2 linked regions of the Mytilus edulis genome follow. Each later gene encodes a partner of the first gene's protein in a complex. Links are inferred from orthologs where the notes say so. Each region holds a gene or a part of one and is shown on either strand. Other genes may lie near its edges.

What was found.
Region 2: YEATS domain-containing protein 2-like (region 1) and transcriptional adapter 2-alpha-like share a complex: the UniProt entries of both Homo sapiens proteins name them as parts of the ADA2A-containing complex. The link is inferred for Mytilus edulis from reciprocal best matches to the Homo sapiens genes YEATS2 and TADA2A.

Annotation. Positions count from the first base shown.
Region 1 is NC_092345.1:32,742,016-32,752,805, reverse strand, and holds the start of YEATS domain-containing protein 2-like, read left to right. Parts: upstream 1-5,568; 5' UTR 5,569-6,160; coding exon 6,161-6,382; intron 6,383-7,690; coding exon 7,691-7,793; intron 7,794-8,194; coding exon 8,195-8,292; intron 8,293-10,790. UniProt on the Homo sapiens protein: Chromatin reader component of the ATAC complex, a complex with histone acetyltransferase activity on histones H3 and H4. YEATS2 specifically recognizes and binds histone H3 crotonylated at 'Lys-27' (H3K27cr).
Region 2 is NC_092350.1:28,512,452-28,521,831, forward strand, and holds transcriptional adapter 2-alpha-like, read right to left. Parts: upstream 3,448-9,380; coding exon 2,173-3,447; 3' UTR 2,165-2,172; downstream 1-2,164. Other genes in the region: nudC domain-containing protein 2-like, read right to left, coding at 3,543-3,614, 7,801-7,952, 8,543-8,591. UniProt on the Homo sapiens protein: Component of the ATAC complex, a complex with histone acetyltransferase activity on histones H3 and H4. Required for the function of some acidic activation domains, which activate transcription from a distant site. Binds double-stranded DNA.

The sequences.
Region 1 (10,790 bases):
AAGCACTACACAGGCTAGTGCTAATGTTGTATTATCATAAGCACATAGCAAATACCTAGAAAGATTTCAAAATAATTTTCTATGCTTCACTGATGTTATCAAATTTTCATCATTATTCTAAGACGTAAATTATCAATCCCCTCTCCAAGCACAGGTTAGTGCTAAGATCTGAGATTCATTTTCGACATTCTTCTGATACTGACGTTCTGACAATCTTACACCAAGTCTTTGTATTTAAATGCTAAGGTGTCAACAATTGATAAGCGTCATATTGCATCTCTTCGATGAGCTTCTGATGTTTTAGAACATATGAGATTGTCGTTGAATATTGATTAGTGTTATAATGGATCAGGTCGATGTGTTTCCCTAAAAATAGATGGTCCGTTGATATGTATTTCTCCCTTGTGTTTGGAGTTTTTATCCGAAATCCCGTCAAGTACAAGCTAGTGCTAATGTGTATTGATCATAAGCACTAAACAAGAACCTGGAAACGTTTTGGACATAAGTGGTACCTTTAAAGTTCTTCTGTGTTCTCAATTAATATGCCGATACTGACGACCACTGTCAATATACGAGCTATGTCAGTATAGCGAAGCATGCGCTTCCCGAAAAATGCTTCCGAGCGTTGCGAAGCAATTTCATTGTGTTACTTGTTCGGTCATTCCGTATCAAAAATTGACGGGCGCCTGAATCATGTAAATATAACTAATTTCTTAAAATACCCAAACAAATAGACAAATGATCGAATGACCAAAATCTGTGAATTAAGTTTTTTATCCATCATTGAACTTTTGATGTCTTCCCTTATCCGGCGTTTTTTAACAAATTATTGTATGATTCTTGTAGGCAGTGGCTTCGGCAAAATAGCCTCTTAGGTGCTATTTTACCGGCTCCGACAAAAGTAGCCCCCTTGCGCTATTTTCCCGGCTCCGGCAAAATACCGATTAATATAGAGTTTAAATTTGCTATTTTGCCGGTCTTAATTCAGATTTTTAACCAAGACTATATGTTATATATTTTATAAGGACACTATTTATGTCCAAATGATATATGTGGTTATAGATGTTAATAACCTATCGTTTTGATCGACTTGCCTTCTTAATCGTTCAATTTTGGTGAACTGCACCTATTTAATTACATGTACATACGTTAATTTCTGTAAAACATTGAACGTTCGAAAATGGAAAATAACAAAGGAGTAGGTTCAGTGAGACCCCTTTTTGGCCCCAAAATTAAGCAGTTTTGCAAAATTGTGAAAATGTTATCTTTTAGCTATTTTTTGGAAAGTAGAATGCTAGCTTCTGCTACATAAATATGTGCTGTTTTTGACAATACAATGTACATATCGTGTACTAGCATCATAAAGTCATGCTTAATTACTGAAATCTTCACAATTATAGCATTTTAGTTAAATTTTAGACGGTTTCCGTCTTAAATGAAAGTGGCCGCATTCGTGTTCATTCATAATATTGAAATGTAAGTTGTATTTGATGATAATACATAATATATATAAAGGTTGAGGATGAACACGGATGCGGCCACTTTCAGTTTGACGAAAACCATCTGAAAAGTGACGTTTTTTGGCATATTTGATAGATTTTTCATATTTAAGCTTCAATCGGAGCGTTTTTAATGACTGAATCAAAATCTTTTACATAAACTAATCGAATCAATTGAAATAGACACTTAAGTGTTTAAAAAGTGTCCTAAATATCTCATTAGATGAAACTGAAATTTGGGGCCAAAATCGGCCCTTACCGGACCTACTCCTTTGTCATCAAACAAACTTGTTTTTCGACTGATCATGGAAAGCTACAGCCGGTTTAGGAGTACTTTAAATTTAAACCGGCGAAACTATAATAATCTACTATGGTGCAATGAAATATTATAAGATTAATAACAAGAGATTGTACCGACACGATGCATAGAAATCTATAATGACAGCATTTATTCTATGAATGTTGAAAACTGAAATGATCTTTTTTGCAAAAAATTTTGCAAAAGTGATGCAGACGAAACAGTCAAGTGTTATGTTCATTTCATGTCTGCAGTGGCACCTTTCTACAAATTTACCAAAAAGCAAGGCACAGAAACACTGTTTTTGAAACGCTCGTAAAGCAGTTTTAACATGTTTAAGATTGTTGTGTATTATAGTATAATACTTTTTGTTTCAAAACTAATAGATGATATTTTCATTAAAAGTTTTAATCAGAATGTCCATTTTCTATATGGGTTCGTATGTGTAATATACATGCATGATCATACATTGCAACAATGTATTGTCACATGATGTCTCTGGTATGTGTAATATATATATTTTTAAAAGAAATATTAAAGTGAAAAGGTACTAATATCAATTTTAATATTTATTTTTTAAAAATATATGATATATTATATATTATTATATATATAGTGTTTTTAGAGACTTCTAGTAAATAATATCAATTTTTTTTTGGGAAAAAATTGGTTGCTTATATAATAATCTTTATTGCAAAATTACACCCATGAGGGTCAAGCAATACAATCAAACAATAATTTTATACTGTACAATGCAATACAATGAAATACAATGTAATACAATGAAATACAAAATAATACAATACAATATATAGAATAATAGAACATTAGAGTTCAATTATAAATGTATGTAAAAAAAAAAAAAAAACACCATCATAACCTTGCCTGACACGGGTCTGACTCCCTCAGTTCTAAAGACTTTAATGAAGACTCCAATATGACAAACAAGTTCAGGGATGGGGCTTAGAATGTGTTTAAGTTTATTGAATGCATCAAGATGTTGAAATAATGGTACATAGTCTTTTAGATAAGCAAAAAGATTAGAACGCAAAGATATGTTAATGTCACAATACAAAAAGAAATGAAATTCATCATCTAGGACTTCACATTTTTTACATAATCTTTGTGCTTTTGGAATGTTTCTGTACCTTCCTAATTCAATGCCGAGGGAATGATCACTTAGTCTAAATTTAGAAAGTAACTGCCTATGTATAAAATTATTGCAATTTAAATATTCCTCAGACTGACAATTATTTTTTAATTTCCCATAAAGACAAAGTTTGGATGAGGAATCCCTTTTTGAAAGTTTAATTAAAGTATTTTTTTCATGTTCCTCTGAAACACACTTTTTTATATTACATTTTAACATGTTTTTTGATTGTTTAAAAGGTACATTATTATTAGAGTAATTTTCTGGGTTTATTTTCATTTCTTTAAAAATTTTATCTGCAAATGAGTACCAAGAATAAATTCCTTCTGAATGTAAATTTATGTTTGTTTGTAGAGATTCTTTAACCAGTGGATTAATATCATTACAATTTGTTCTATAAAAATACATGAGTGTTTGAGTTTTTATATAGGAGTCCAAAGTAAATCTACCTAATTCTGATCTGGCACCTATGTTAGTGGCTGTCTTTCTCAGTCCTAATACTGCTTTACAAAATTTAGAATGAACCTTTTCAAAGGGATATTTTTCTGCTAATGCAAGAGTATCACAAAATGTATTATTTACTGCAGCTCTATTAGATGCCCTAAAAGCTGACTGAAAATTATCCATAAACCAAATTTCAGAGTTGTATGTCAAAATAGGTCTTATAAGAGTATCAAATAATTTACATGACAAATTAGTGGGAACAAAATTAAAATTGGACATATATTTTCTCAATAAAAATAAAACTTTAATGCCTTTTTTAGACAGCTCTTCAGTAGTTTTTGTAAAATTTCCCCTATAGTTAATAATATTCCCTAGAAATTTAAAGTCCTTAACTTCAGTCAAAAATTTATTATTGAACAAGAGGGGTGGGGATTGTTTATAAATATTCTGAAAAACTAGAATTTTAGTCTTGTTAGTATTAACACTCAACTGCCATTTAGTGCAATATTTATTCAGTTTATCTAATGCGTTTTGAAGCCACTGGTGTGTCTCAGACAGTAACACTAAATCATCTGCATAGCTGAGAGTTTGGATACTTGAAGTATCAAGAACGGGAGGGTTACAATTTACATCAAAAATTGAATGTAAATCATTTATATAACAATTAAACAAAGTAGGACTTAAACTGTCCCCTTGTCTTACACCTCTAATTATTTGAAAAAACAAAGAGTGTTCATTGCCAATCTTCAGTGCAGACTGGGATAAACTATACATATTTTTCAAAGTAGTATAAAATTTCACACCAACACCATCATTTATCAATTTATACAACAGGCCATTATGCCAAACAGAGTCAAAAGCACCACGTAAATCTACAAAACAAGCAAACAGCTTTTTCTTATTTTTTTTCAAATATTTAGTGACAAGAGTTTTTAAAATAAATATGCTATCAGATGTTCTGTGATTTGAACGAAATCCAAATTGATGACTGGAGAACTTATTTTCATAATGCTTTACTAGTCTTTTATTCAAAATGGAGCTATATAATTTTGCTAGACAGTTTAAAATAGAAATGCCTCTATAGTTACATTATGTCTTCTTTATCTCCAGACTTATGGATTAAAACAATAAAAGCTTTCCTCCAGCTGGTGGGGTAAATACCAGATGATAAAATAAGATTAAAAAGTTTAACTATGGCTGAAACTGTAACAAAGCTACTATATTTTATAATTTCATTAGATATTAAGTCAGGTCCAGCGCTTTTCCCTGATTTTAATTCTTTTATACAGTTCTTAACTTCTGATATTGAAAATGGACTATCAGTACAAATATTATGTTCTAACGTACTCTCAAGCATATTTAAATCTTTTTTAACTTTATCTTTAAAAGAGTTATCATATTTTTCAGCTTTACCAAGATTTTGAAAATGTTCTTCATAGTTATTTAATTCAATATTTAAACAATCATCCTGTTTAGTGTCTTCATTTTTTAATTTTTTAAGGAGTTCCCAATATTTTTTTGGGTCATTTTCTTGCAAATTTGTTAATGTTTCATATAAGTTCTTTTTAAATATAATTTTCTTTCTCTTTACTAATTTTTTAAGTTTTTTAGCATGTCACGGTAAAAAATTTACATTTTAGCTCTAAATTAAATGGTTCTCGTCTCAGTTTAGCTCCTTTTGCTTTAATAGTTTTTTTAAGATCACGTATTTCATGGTCAACCCATGGTTTTCTGTTTAGTATTTTTTGTTTAACTTTTTTATATCTTACAATTTTACATGATTTATTTATATAGGGAATCACTGAAGCGTGACTGGAGCGTGCCCCCTCTTAGGCAGTCAGTGGGCCCCACTTCTAGCCCCACTTATGAAAATTTCTGGATCCGCCACTGAAAACTTTATCAAATATTTTATTATATTTTTTTTTATATATATATTCATTACAGATATTAATATCTTCATTAATTCTATTTGTAGTAGAATATGTTTTTTTTTTTAAAGCAAGAGGCGTACATTTCTGTCAGATAAAAATTTTTGATCTAAACTGTAACACGTGCTTTTATTCTTTTTCTCTTCATTGGTTTCGCGGAATTTTTCACATGAGTAATCATGACCTATCTGTTTCAACCAATCACAGTTGTTGTACCTTTCATTGATTGATCAACATGGCGGCCTCCATGAAACGTAAAATGAAATTACTACCAAAACAATCAGATATCTACGTAACAAACTCTGTATACACAGTGCTATCATGCCTGACTGAACAAACACTACTTGATATTAACTAAATTATAAGATACACGAAGATTTGCGTCCAAATATTTTTTTTGACATTAAATAAAAAAAATCCTTTCTTGTTGCAGTTTTGACAGGTCGATTTTTTTTGCATTTGGTAAACACCCCATGTAACAAGTTGTGCATAAATAATCTCACAATTTAAAATAAATGGGTACGAATTGTACCTTAAAATACCCTCTATTAAAACCTATTTATTTTTATAATGAATATTTTTCCACTTCTTTTAAAGTCATATGAAACCAGTGAGTGGTGAAAAATAATGTTAATCCAATTCTTGAACCAATGCATGTATAATCATAAACTTAGAACTCTGTGAACGATTTTGTCATTTTTTACGCAAATATATCGTATAATTGTCAATTTTTTTTCTCTCTATCTGTTATGATTTAACAAATATGGCTGCTCATTAAATGCCGTGTTTTAAAGCCGAAGTTTACCAATTGTCACCTTATAGTAAATAAATAACAAAAAGCATGGGTATTGAGCACGTGTTAAACATGTACAATCAGATAGTTGTTTATTTTAATGACATATCCATGCGTATTGTGATCGCTGGATTTTTACGAGGAGGGTTACGCTCAGGTCACTATGCATACAGAAAAAATGTTGGCGAATTGCTTCTTGGAAGCATGCAATTAAAAACTAATAAACTTCTTTTAAATGTGGACAAATTAAAGAATTTTCCTCAGAAAAAGGTATATGTACATAAGTTGTATAATGAAAACTATCCATTTAGTTATAAAAAACATATACATGTACAATGTATGCATGATTTTTTTTTAATTTGAGGTTTCTTATGACTTTAAAGGAAGATAAAGTATTAACAATTGCAGAGCCTTTTTAAATGAGATATGTCATTTATTTGACATGATGACATCTGTATTGGTAGTGTAGAAGCCTGTTGAGGCTTTTATACATGCTTTCAATTCATGGCGATTTCTGTATAAATTAAATTAAAAATAAATCAAAATACAAATAAAAGATTAAAAGGATAAAGGTGTATACATTCACTAGTCCAAGATTACTCTGTGACTTCCAAGGGCTGTTTTTGCCATATATAATGGTGGGGCCTTGGGACCCTAGCTTTCTGGCAAAACAACCTTAGACATCAGAGTAATCTCGGACTATACGATCACTTGCTGTGTAATGATTTTTCACAGATAAGATTGCTGTAAAATTAAGAAATCTCAGATACAATGTCATGTGCAATGTACACTTTATAATAATGTAGATTTAACATTGGTCATCAATTCATTATAATTGTATATAATTTTCACCTGAAATTTTTCATGGTTTATACATACAGGCCATTAGGAGTATTTATATGCGATCAAACCTGATCAAGGGAATATTGTGTCAGTAGTTTTATAGAGATAACTTGGGCACTATTATTACATTTATTAAAAAATGCCTGTTAAAAAAAGCATAACAATTAAAGTTAAAATTTAACCATATAAACCAAACACTGCAACTATGTTTTTTATGCCCCACCTACAATAGTAGATGGGCATTATGTTTTCTGGTCTGTGGGTTCCTTTTGTCCGTCTGTTCGTTAGTTCGTCCGTCTGTTTGTTCGTCCTGGTTCAGGTGAAAGTTTTTGGTCAAGGTAGTTTTTGATGAAGTTGAAGTCCAATCAACTTGAAAGTTACAAAATGTAGTACACATGTTCCCCATGATATGATCTTTCTAATTTTAAATTAAAGTTTTGACCCCAATTTCACGGTCCACTGAACATAGAAAATGATAGTGTGAAGTTCAGGTTAAAGTTTTTGGTCAAGGTAGTTTTTGATGAAGTTCAAGTCACATCAACTTGAAACTTAGTACACATGTTCCCTATGATATGATCCTTCTAATTTTAATTCCAAATTAATTTTGATTCCAATTTCAGAGTCCACCGAACATGGAAAATGATAGTGCGAGTGGGGCATCCCTGTACTATGGACACATTCTTGTTTCTTTCTTAACTGTTATCTCATATCATATTTAGATATTTATATTTTCAGACTTGTAGCATGGCTGTTAAACGTGGACATATTGACATTGACCCAGATTATGAAGATGTTACAGAGCAGCAGTCCAAGAGACAAAGAGTATTTGAAGAAGATGGTTTGTATCATTTCACTAGATATTACATTAAAAAAAACCAACACTAATGCAGGAATTATCAATTTACAAAATTTTAGGAACACCTACACCAAAGGCTAATGTAACCACATATGTTGCCATCAATTGGCATCCATTAAAAGAAATCATGATGTGAAAGAAACAGACTGAAAAGCTTAAAAAGATATTAATATGAAAATCTTGACATATTTACTGCTGATGATGTTTTGAAGAATGATGATCAAGAGATAGCATTGTCTTTCTGTTAAGAATTATGAAAAAATCGAAATAGTAGATATAGTTTTCAGAAGCAGATAAAAATACCTATAAATATGTTTTCCAGAAGCAGATATAAATACTTTAAATTAGTATCAAATTGATATTGATTAATTAATCTATTTCAGCTAAGGAAGCAACAAGACGGAAGATTGAGAATATTATTCACAGTCAGTTTACAATGGAGATACAGAACAAAGAAGAAGAAGTAGATGAGACCGATCAGGTAAAAACCAGGTGTTTTATTTGCAAAAATTCAAGTAAGAATGACAGCTGTATGAGATATGCTAGGTTATAAAACAAATTAAAGTTTAAAAAGGCAACTCAAACTTATTTGCTCACCTGTGTATTCATTAAGGTTAGGATTAAGAGGAAATATTTTCAGAATAGGAAGCAAATTCATTCTGGCGAGGGGTCTGGGGCTGATTATGGTCTCCAGTGGGTCCAGGGGGCTGAAAAGAAATATAGCACGTTTGAAGTAATTTTTGAGGGCCTTTCTTATATTTTTATGTACACAATGTAGATATTATTGTTCATGAGCTATTGAGACAATTAACAATTAGATATTTAAGACAGAATGGTTAAACTTATGACAATATTGGACGTTGCAGAGAAGCATTGTTAATTTAATACCATCAAATAATGTTCAACAAACAAAGAAATCTGTTTTTGCTTGGAACTGTTAGAAAACATAATCTAGGAATATCAGCTTAAACCATTGAATGTAATTTATATTGAAAGTTTGTTTGTACTTTGTAGATTTAAGTGTTGCTCATTACTTTGTAAACTCTCATCAGTGGTGAAAATTGGCACTGGTCCGATGGTCTGAGACCAGTAGAATTTGTGTCGAACCAGTAGATTTTGTCAGCTGGTGGTCCAATGGACCAGTAGAAATTTGTCGATAAAACTCACTGATTGCATCAAAATATTTGGTTTTTTTTTGCAAACAAATTTACCTGCAAAATCAATTACACATACTGGGGGTTCTAAGTATTGCAATTAATCAAGGTAATTAGTATCTTGGATGAGCGTCCTTCACAACAAAACAAAATGTTGGAAATTTTTGGGAGGACTGCTGGACAAAAAAAAAAAAATAAGTGTCGTTCAAAAGGAAGATACAGTACGGGTAGGGACTTATTTTTATGGATGTCTTAATCCGTCTAGTCGGATATGAATAATCCGACATTTTTATGGTAGGTAGTATGGTCATTAATCAACAGATCCAGGTGTGAATGGTCCTTTCATCTTAATCCGTGTTGCTAGAATTACGGTTCACTGATTTCAGAATCAGATTACCTGTAATTTTAACCTCTCAGTCACTTTATTGATTATATTAGTTCTACATCGTATTTGACATAAAATATTTTTACAGGTGAAGTACTGGAGAAAACTTTGTTTAATAAAAATAGCCTATTTTTGTTAAATTATGGTTTTGATATTTCAACTGTTATTTATTTTCTTTGTTCCTAAAAAATATTTTTATTTTATGTTCCTTTTCGTTTGTTTTTTTTGTTTTTGTATCTTTTTCTTATTTGTTTGCATAAATTTTGTTAACATATATATTTTTACATGTATTCTATTTCTTGAAGCTTACAGTTATTTTTATTTTACTGATTTATTTTCCACGTAAATCCATTGATTAGCAGAATGCTGTCTCAAGTGCTGCTGCATACGTTTTAGTTTGATGCGGTCACATGCAAAATATTTCTATTATTTGTATTTAATATTCAGTCTGTGTTGTGTCAGTTTCGAGATAAAAATAATTACAGTGAGCAATACTTGTATATTATTAGTAGCTTGATGATTCTTTGTAGTTTTTACTTTTTACTGTAAACAAATATTGTCCGAAAGTTGGAGATGTACAACTAAAAAAGAACGTAAATAATAACACTAGAAGAAAATATTGATTCTTCCCGGGCATAAGTTTATTTTAAGATTTCCGTGTTTGTTCATTATGCTAAATTAATATAATTGATCTGGATTTGGGGGTAGGGGTAAAAGGGGTCCGGATCTCGAAATCCCAGGCTTAAAAACACGAAGTCCCAAGGTCCCGAATTGAAATAAATTTAAATCCCGGCATCGCGAAAAAAGAATTCCCAGATCCCGATAGGGTTAATCCCGAAATCCCGAACTTAATTGCATAATATTAATTTACGCACAATCCATGTAAAAAAGTAAACTTGTATGTAATATTTTGTATAGCAATCTAAAAGAAAAAATTGCCGTGAAAAGACAATTCCATGATATACATATCAGTGATCAACAGCGTGTGCACGTGGTTGAACTTTAACTTGACTCCACTCACAATAATATTGAATGCTAATAAAAGATATTAAAGATCGATTTTGTCCACTGCACAAGATTTTTATATGGCGGGAAATGTCGTAACAGTAAACACAGGTGACCTTACTGACCGACCGTGGGAAAATTCATTCATGATTAAATTTGATGTGGAATGATTGACAGTATTGTGCTTTAGTTTTGAGGCTCTTGATCGATTTACCAGAATAGAAATTTAATCGATTTACATACATGTATAATCAAAACACGATTTAGTCTTCTTTAACTATTTTTTGTTTTATTTTTATCAGTCATTTCCCGGATTCCCATTTAAAAAATCTATTTGGAGACCTCCTTTGAACTTCGGAAATAATACTACATCGATTTAAAAAATCATACTGACTGCGCGAGCTTTTAGTCAATAAACTATATAAGGTTAAACTT
Region 2 (9,380 bases), on another chromosome or scaffold:
TTGTACATCTTACTTTACTGAAAATTCTTGCTGCTTACAATTAGCTCTATCTATAATGAACTTGGCCCAGTAGTTTCAGTGGAAGATGTTAGTAAAAATTTACAAATTTTATGAAAATTGTTAAAAATTGACTATAAAGGACAATCACTCCTTAGGGGGTCAATTGACCATTTTGGTCTTGTTGACTTATTTTTAGTCTTACTTTGCTGTACATTATTGTTGTTTACAGTTTTTCTCTATCTATAATAATATTCAAGATAATAACAAACTAGAGGCTCTAAAGAGCCTGTGTCGCTCACCTTGGTCTATGTGCATATATACAATACCCTTCCCTTTCATGAATATGACCTACCGAATTAGACTATTTACCGGATTTGTAATCACATAAGCAACACGACGGGTGACACATGTGGAGCAGGATCTGCTTACCCTTCCGGAGCACCTGAGATCACCCCTAGTTTTTGGTGGGGTTCGTGTTGTTTATTCTTTAGTTTTCTATGTTGTGTCGTGTGTACTATTGTTTTTCTGTTTGTCTTTTTCATTTTTAGCCATGGCGTTGTCAGTTTGTTTTAGATTTATGAGTTTGACTGTCCCTTTGGTATCTTTCGTCCCTCTTTTAAACAAAGGACACAAATAGATTCATGACAAAATTGTATTTTGGTTATGGTGATGTGTTTGAAGTTCTTACTTTACTGAACGTTCTTGCTTCTTACAATTATATCTATAATGAACTTTGCCCATTAGTAACAGAGAAAATTATTTGGTAAAAATTTACATAAATTTACCAAATTAATGAAAATTGTTAAAAATTGACTATAAAGGGCAATAACTCCTTAAGGGGTCAATTGACCATTTAGGTCATGCTGACTTATTTGTAGATCTTACTTTGCTGAACATTATTGCTGTTTACAGTTTATCTCCATCTATATTAGTATTAAAGATAATAACCAAAAACGGCAAAATTTCTTTAAAAATTACCAATTGGGGTCAGCATCCCAACAACCGGTTGTCCAATTCATCTAAAAATTTCAGGGCAGATAGATATTGACTTGATTAACAATTTAACTTCTTGTCAGATTTGCTCTAAATGCTTTGGTTTCAGAGTTATAAGCCAAAATCTACATTTTACCCCTGTTTTAACATTTTACCCCTGTTTTATTTTTAGCCGTGGCAGCCATCTTAGTTGGATGGCCAGGTCATCGGACACATTTTTCAAACTAGATACCCCAAAGATGATGTTGGCCAAGTTTGGATTAATTTGGCCCAGTAGTTTCAGAGGAGAATATTTTTGTAAAAGATTACTTAAGATTTACGAAAAATGGTTAAAAATTGACTATAAAGGGCAATAACTCCTAAAGGGGTCAACTGACCATTTCGGTCATGTTGACTTATTTGTAAATCTAACTTTGCTGAACATTATTGCTGTGTACAGTTTATCTATATCTATAATAATATTCAAGATAATAACCAAAAACAGCAAAATTTCCTCAAAATTACCAATTCAGGGGCAGCAACCCAACAACAGGTTGACCGATTCATCTGAAAATTTCAGGGCAGATAGATCTTGACCTGATAAACATTTTTATCACGGTCAGATTTCCTTTAAATGCTTTGGTTTTTGAGTTATAAGCCAAAAACTGCATTTTACCCCTATGCACTATTTTTAGCTGTGGCGGCCATCTTGGTTGGTTCAACTTGGTTGGCCGGGTCACGCCACACATTTTTCAATCTAGATACCCCAATGATGATTGTGGCCAGGTTTGGTTTAATTTGGCCCAGTAGTTTCAGAGGAAAAGATTTTTGTAAAAGTTAACGAAGATGGACGACGCCGGACGCAAAGTGATGAGAAAAGCTCACTTGGCCCTTCGGACCAGGTGAGCTAAAAAAGGCTTTTTATAGTTGTCAATTTAAAAGGAAAATCTGTTGTGAAAATGATAGCTGTGCTCAAGTGCACTTTTTATATAAATGTGCAACTATGTCATCAGTTTCTATCTAGAACACTGTTCAGCCTCTTTGTTTTGGACAAATATTAATAAATTTCATCTGCTTTTATAAATTCTTAAAAATTAGATTTTGATGGAAAATATCATGAATAAAAAGTTCTGTTCTTTTAATTCATGTACATTGACTTTCATACAATGCTGCAAAAAATATCTGGAATAAGTATAGGAGCTACTCTTTATTAATCATCCCATTAGTCAACAAAAAATCATATAATTTTCTTGTTTTGTTAACATCAATTTTGATCAAACTTCTAGCCTGTCCAAGTTTTAAACATCCATTTTTCTTACACTCATTAATCAGGGAATCACGAAATTCTATATAAGCCTCTGGAACCAATCTAATATTAGCGCAAATCTCTTGTTCTGTTTCTCCTAGTTTTTCATAACCTGGCAAACTAGAAATGTCTAATGGAGGTGCTGTTTTCCGAGGAGCATTTGGTAACACAACTAAGCCTCCTTTTGACATATTGTCTAGCACAGCCTGCCTTTGAAGCCATGTTTGACAAGAAGTTTCATCTTTTAAATGTGATAATAGGTCTACCATAAGATGTCTTTTAGATTTCACTACATTTCTCCTTGAGTTAAGGATGTGATACATTTTACTCTGCTGCATAGAGGTCATGCCATTTTCTCTTCTGCTCTGAAGTTTCTTGATATCATGTTTTAATTCTCTCTCATAATGTATGGCCTCAATATATTTACAATATTCATCAGGTGACACCAATGTTATGAATACTCTCAACTTGTCAATAAGGTCCTTGATGGTGTAACTGTATCTACGGCTGGCCACTTGTACTTTTGGTATGTTGATCAGACCATAATCTCTGACAATTTTCTTCCTTTTCCATCTCTCTTTCATGCAATCGTAATACACATCCAGAACTCCCAACTGCATTTTACTATCTTCATCCTCCTCATCAAAATCTAAATGTTTGATTTCCAGTTCCATGAAGTTGTCATATTCTATTGTGAAATCACCCCTTCCAGCCATATACCCACTGAGGTCGTTGTTTTCTGGGTAGCGTGGAGGGTCGTCACACAATTTATATAGGATTGGCTGAGGATAAACAGTCCTCTCTGCCTCTTTAAAGTGAGGCAAGTCCTCATGAGGTTTATCAATGAAATATTTATTGTAATGATTCTGACATTCTGACTGACTTTTTGTCCGTAGCCTGTGAGCTACATCTGACCAGTTGCCATAGCCACAGTCTGACATGATGTCAAGTAACGTTGTTTCTTCCTCTGCCGTCCATATCTGTTCAAACAGCGGAAAATCTGTTCTACAAACAGTGTAGGGATGATCGTTTTGATGAACACCAAATATAACTCCTTTAGAGAAGCAATGAACACAGATAGTCATGGAGTGACATACTTCAGCTTTACATACAATGTATGGCTTTCTTAGTTCACATTTACAATTCATACAATAGTGTTCCTCCTCCATTTCAATGTTTGTTCAATAGTTCAGTATAATATCAAATTTTTAAAATTTTCCTTAATTCATTGTGAAAAATGTCTAAGAATTACTATGAGATGACTTTAGCCTAATTTTGGTCCTCCATCATGATAGTTGCCTGTTATTGAAGCACCACTGAAGTCAAAACCAGGATTCTGTAAAATAATAAAACAATATTGTGCTATTAGTGTTCAACTTACTTAATTTTCTAATAAGGTCAACTTACAGTGTTGTCTTCTTTTCATCAGTTTTTGGAAATTGGAAATAATAACTCTCAGGAATTTTTCTAAACAATCTAAAATTGAACTAGATACCTTATTAAAGACTCAGATGTAAAATTTAAGACCACAGTGCAAAAATTTCTTAAAGGCATGCTTTTCTTACTAAAAATACATGGTCTGTTTGATTAAAGCTTTTCAGCTGTTTTCTGATTTTTTAGTCAAAATCATGATTTAAGGATAATAGCTGGAGCTAGCTCCTATACGTTGTTTCCAATGTAGGTATCAATAGTAGAGCTATAATAGTATTATTAAAAGGGGTACACAGTTATTTTCTATAATGATTTAATGCAAAATTAACATTCAGATTCTTTTGTTTTGATAAAAAGAGAATTGAATTTTTTACTTTAAAATATCAAATATTGACAGAATAAAACTAGAGGCTCTAAAGAGCCTGTGTCGCTCACCTTGGTCTATGTGAATATTAAACAAAGGAAGCAGATGGATTCATGACAAAATTGTGTTTTGGTGATGGTGATGTGTACATCTTACTTTACTAAAGTCTTGCTGCTTACAATTATCTCTATCTATAATGAACTTGGCCCAGTAGTTTCAGTGGAAAATGTTAATAAAAATTTACAAATTTTATGAAAATTGATAAAAATTGACTATAAAAGACAATAACTCCTTAGGGGGTCAATTGACCATTTCGGTCATTTTGATTTATTTGTAAATCTTACTTTGCTGAACATTATTGCTGTTTACAGTTTATCTCTATCTATAAAAATATTCAAGATAATAACCAAAACTAAAGGCTCTAGAGCCTGTGTCGCTCACCTTGGTCTATGTGAATATTAAACAAAGGACACAGATGAATTCAAGACAAAATTGTGGTTTGGTGATGGTGATGTGTTTGTAGGTCTTACTTTACTGAACATACTTGCTGCTTACAATTATCTCTATCTATAATGAACTTGGCCCAGTAGTTACAGTTGAAAATATTAGTAAAATTTTACAAATTTTGTGAAAATTGTTAAAAAATTACTATATAAAGGGCAATAACTCCTTAGGAGATCAATTGACCATTTTGGTCATGTTGACTTCTTTTTAAGGTCTTACTTAACTGTACATTATTGCTGTTTACAGTTTATCTCTATCTATAATAATATTCAAGATAATATCCAAAAACTGCAAAATGTCCTTAAAATTACCAATTCAGGGGCAGCAACCCAACAAAGGGTTGTCCGATTGGTCTGTAAATTTCAGGGCAGATAGATCTTGACCTGATTATAACAATTTTACACCATGTCAGATTTGCTCTAAATGCTTTGGTTTTTGAGTTATAACCCAAAAACTGCATTTTACCCCTATGTTCTATTTTTAGCCGTGGCGGCCATCTTGGTTGGAAGGCCAAGTCACCGGACACATTTTTTAAACTAGATACCCCAAAGATGATTGTGGCCAAGTTTGGATTACTTTGGCCCTGTAGTTTCAGAGGAGAAGATTTTTGTAAAAGATTACTTAGATTTACGAAAAATGGTTAAAAATTGACTATAAAGGGCAATAACTCCTAAAGGGGTCAACTGACCATTTCGGTCATGTTGACTTATTTGTAAATCTAACTTTGCTGAACATTATTGCTGTTTACAGTTTATCTCTATCTATAATAATGTTCAAGATAATAACCAAAAACAGCAAAATTTCCTTAAAATTACCAATTCAGGGGCAGCAACCTAACAACAGGTTGTCCGATTCATCTGAAAATGTCAAGGCAGATAGATCTTGTCCTGATAACAATTTTACCCCTGTCAGATTTGCTCTAAATGCTTTGGTTTTTGAGTTATAAGCCAAAAACTGCATTTTACCCCTATGTTCTATTTTTAGACGTGGCGGCCATCTTTGTTAGTTGGCCGGGTCACCGGATACACCGGATACGCAAAGTGATGGGAAAAGCTCACATGGCCCTTCGGGCCAGGTGAGCTAAAAATGCTTAAAATTTTGGTTTTGAAAAATTTATCATGTTTATTAGAAACTTTCATATGATTATTATTATGTTTTTATCAAATTTAATTAAATACTGACAAAATAGACCAAACCTTACCCTACTTTTGTCTTTAATGAAGAAAATCGCCAAATTCTCCCTGAAATGGAGATATAATCTTGTTTATAAAGTAATTAAAAATATATATTTATTAGCTAAAAATAAGTTCAATGAAGTAAAGACTGCCATTCAGTTCTCAAAATCCAAACATATTTTTTTTATGTTTTATACTGTTACACATACATCATGTTACTTTAAAATTCTATTTCTATATCAACATTTGTATTGATTGATTGTTCTTTTCTTATTGTCCAGTTACACATATTTCATGTTTATATGCCATTATTATTAAATTACATTATTCTCATTAAACACATTTCATTGGAGAGCAGACAACAGTATTAGTAACTTAACTTTACTAGTTCCTTTTTTGATTATATAATTTAGAATATGTTGGCATGAAGAGAATAAATATAAAGACTCTACTTGGAATTCAGTGAAAGTTATCAGTTTTATCAATTTAAGAATAAGTCTTCTACAATATGTACTTAATTCTATTTTAAAAGTCAATGTTTCCTTATTTTCAATCCATCCTGTTTTCATGGTCTTTAACACTGAATTTATATCTATTTTTTTGGCATTAAAATATTACCAATCATTAAATAATTATTGTCATTCATTATTTTGTGTAAAATTTCACAATTTAGATCCAATTATTTTTTAATCTAGTCCTAATGTAAATTCATAATTATTGTGATGATTTTATTAATTGTGAAAAATGCTGCAGTATCAGATTTACATTACAGAAAACTTGCATTCGTAATTCCAGTAGTGATCTAGATCTCCCTTATAAATTTTTAGCAATCACATTTACATTTAACATGTTTGCCAGCAGTCAAATTTTAGCAATAATATATATATGCAACATTAGTTTCTGAATTAACAGTATATACAATTGTATTAAATATAAACTCATCATAAATAACAGGACTAAATTTTGCATATACGCCAGATGCGCGTTTCGTCTACAAAAGACTCATCAGTGACGCTCGAATCCAAAAAAGTTAAAAAGGCCAAATAAAGTACGAAGTTGAGGATTGAGTAATATATATGTAACTATATGAGGGTTGGAAGCCTCGGTGGACGAGTGGTCTAAGTAGTTACTACTGTAATCACTAGCCAGTCAACACTGAGGTTGTGAGTTCGAACCCTGCTCATGTGGGTGCACTCGATTTCAATCTTAATTGACTAGGATTGTCAGTTTTCCTTTCAAAGGTCTGTGGTTTTCTTCTGGCACTCGGGCTTCCTCCACCAAATTAAAAACTGGGTGCCATGAAATAGCCTAAATCCAGAGCTTAAAAGTGGCGTTTAAACACCAAAAATCAATATGAGGGTCTGGATGGGGTTTACAAAACAGGGAATAATTGGCAAAATGTCCAGAATACAGGGCAAATAGAAGAAAAGAGAAAAATAGGCCAAAAAAATAAAAATAAAGAATAATGGGGTTTAAATATAAAGAATTGAGAATACTAGGGTTTTAAAATATAAAGAATCAAGAATAATGTCATAATAGATAAAAGAACAAAATGGTATAAAATTAAATGAATAATGAAATGAAAGACCCCTGATTCAGACCCTAAAATATACCAAAACTAATATTCTAAATTAAATAGACACAGTAAATTCAGTATAGCTAATGAATGTCAGTTCAGAGGTAAATCAAATTACTGATAAAGAATTTTGAAATTTATAATACATAAAATTTAGAATGGAAACGGGGAATGTGTCAAAGCGACAACAACCTGACCATAGAGCAGACAACAGCTGAAAGCCACCTATGGGTCTTCAATGTAGCGAGAAACTCCCGCACCCAGAGGCGTCCTTCAGCTGGGCCCTAAACAAATATGTATGCTAGTTCAGTGATAATGGACGTCATACTAAACTCCGAATTATACACAAGAAACTAAAATTAAAAATGTATACATTTATCATGTTTATAGTCTAATTGAATATATCATGCATACATAACAGGATATTTTTTGCTGTCATTTTTAGAATTAAATTTGTAATAATCTGCTTTACCTCGTTCTGAAATTTTTCCAATGTTAATTTTTGTTCCATCTGATCAAAGGTAGAGGGATCTGCTTCATATTGTGATTTTAACAATGACTTCCAACAGTTGCCAGCAGTACTATGGACCTTTGGTAAACAGATTCTTATCAACTTCTTATCTTCTGTAAACATGTATGTACATAGTCAGTAAAATTTTTCAAGTCTTTCTATTCAATTCAGTAAACCAGAACAAAACCAATGCTGACAATTCAACGAAAGTTCTATGTCAATTTCGGTTTCACTGATCATGCCAATTTAATATTACATATATATAATATTATAAAAGATTAATATTAAATGAACAGTGATATAAGAATATCATGAATATGGCATGTATGTTTTCTTAATTCTCTTTTGAGTCAGCCAATTTTATATTATTGATCACACATTTTTTATCATATAAAAAAATAAGAAGATGTGGTATAACTGCCAATGAGACAACTCTCCACAGGAGAACAAATGAAATAGAAGTTATCAGCCATAGTTCACAGTACAGTCTTTACTCTTTAACAAAGAGCAAACCCATACCCCATAGTTAACTTAAAAGCCCCTAAATGACAAATGTAAAACAATTTAAACAAGAAAAAATAAAGGCCTGATTTATGTACAAAATAAAAATAAAAGTGATTGATACCTTATATATAGTGTTTCTGATACAAAATGATTTACAAAAGTCCTTTGTCAATACTCAAATTATTAAACAAACTTATACCTAATGTCCACACAGCTTCATCAGCATGCACAGCTTTATGCAAATCTCCCTGGAAATATAGAAAAGATAAATTGCATCAACTAAAAGTAAGGGACAACAGCAGTGAATATCTTGGCAAAAACTGGTGCAACTGATATAAATCAAAGTCTGTAATGATTGTTAAGACATGTAAGAGGCTTAAACCTTTGAGGAACATGTATGGCTGGCCTTGCATTTATGTACATTTGTATATAACTAAAATGTAGGACTGATTATGAGTACTAGTTTAAGTTATGTTAAGTTTGATTGTGGGAGCTAGAGGTTTAATTTAGATTCTTGTAATTATTCAAGTTTTGCTTAAATTCAGGTTTACATGTAAATCAGGCTGTTGCCAGTGTTGGTTTGCTTGTTTGAATTGTTTATGTCTATGATATAGTATCAGTTACACTCATTGATGAATGCCATACAGTGATCTATAGTTGCTTACATCCATCATATCCATAACATATCATTTTGATTAAGGTAGATAGTAGTCTCATTGGATATCATTCTATATCTCAATTTCATACTTTTGTCTAGCTATGGCTGTTTCTGATGGGAAATATAAAAAAGAAGTGGTTTAATTGCCAATGAGACAGCTCTTCTCAAGAGACCAAATGACAGATATATATTAACAACTATTAGTCTATCAGAGAATCACAAAAAAAACCTAACAATATACTATATAAACAAGGAATTTCTTAGAAACAGACAGTAAAACTTTTGCAAAGATTTACTTTTTATTGGAATTGAAGGGTGGCATACCTCTGCACTAAAAAAAGGTCATGGTGATCCCTGAAAATGGCAGGTTTTCCTAACT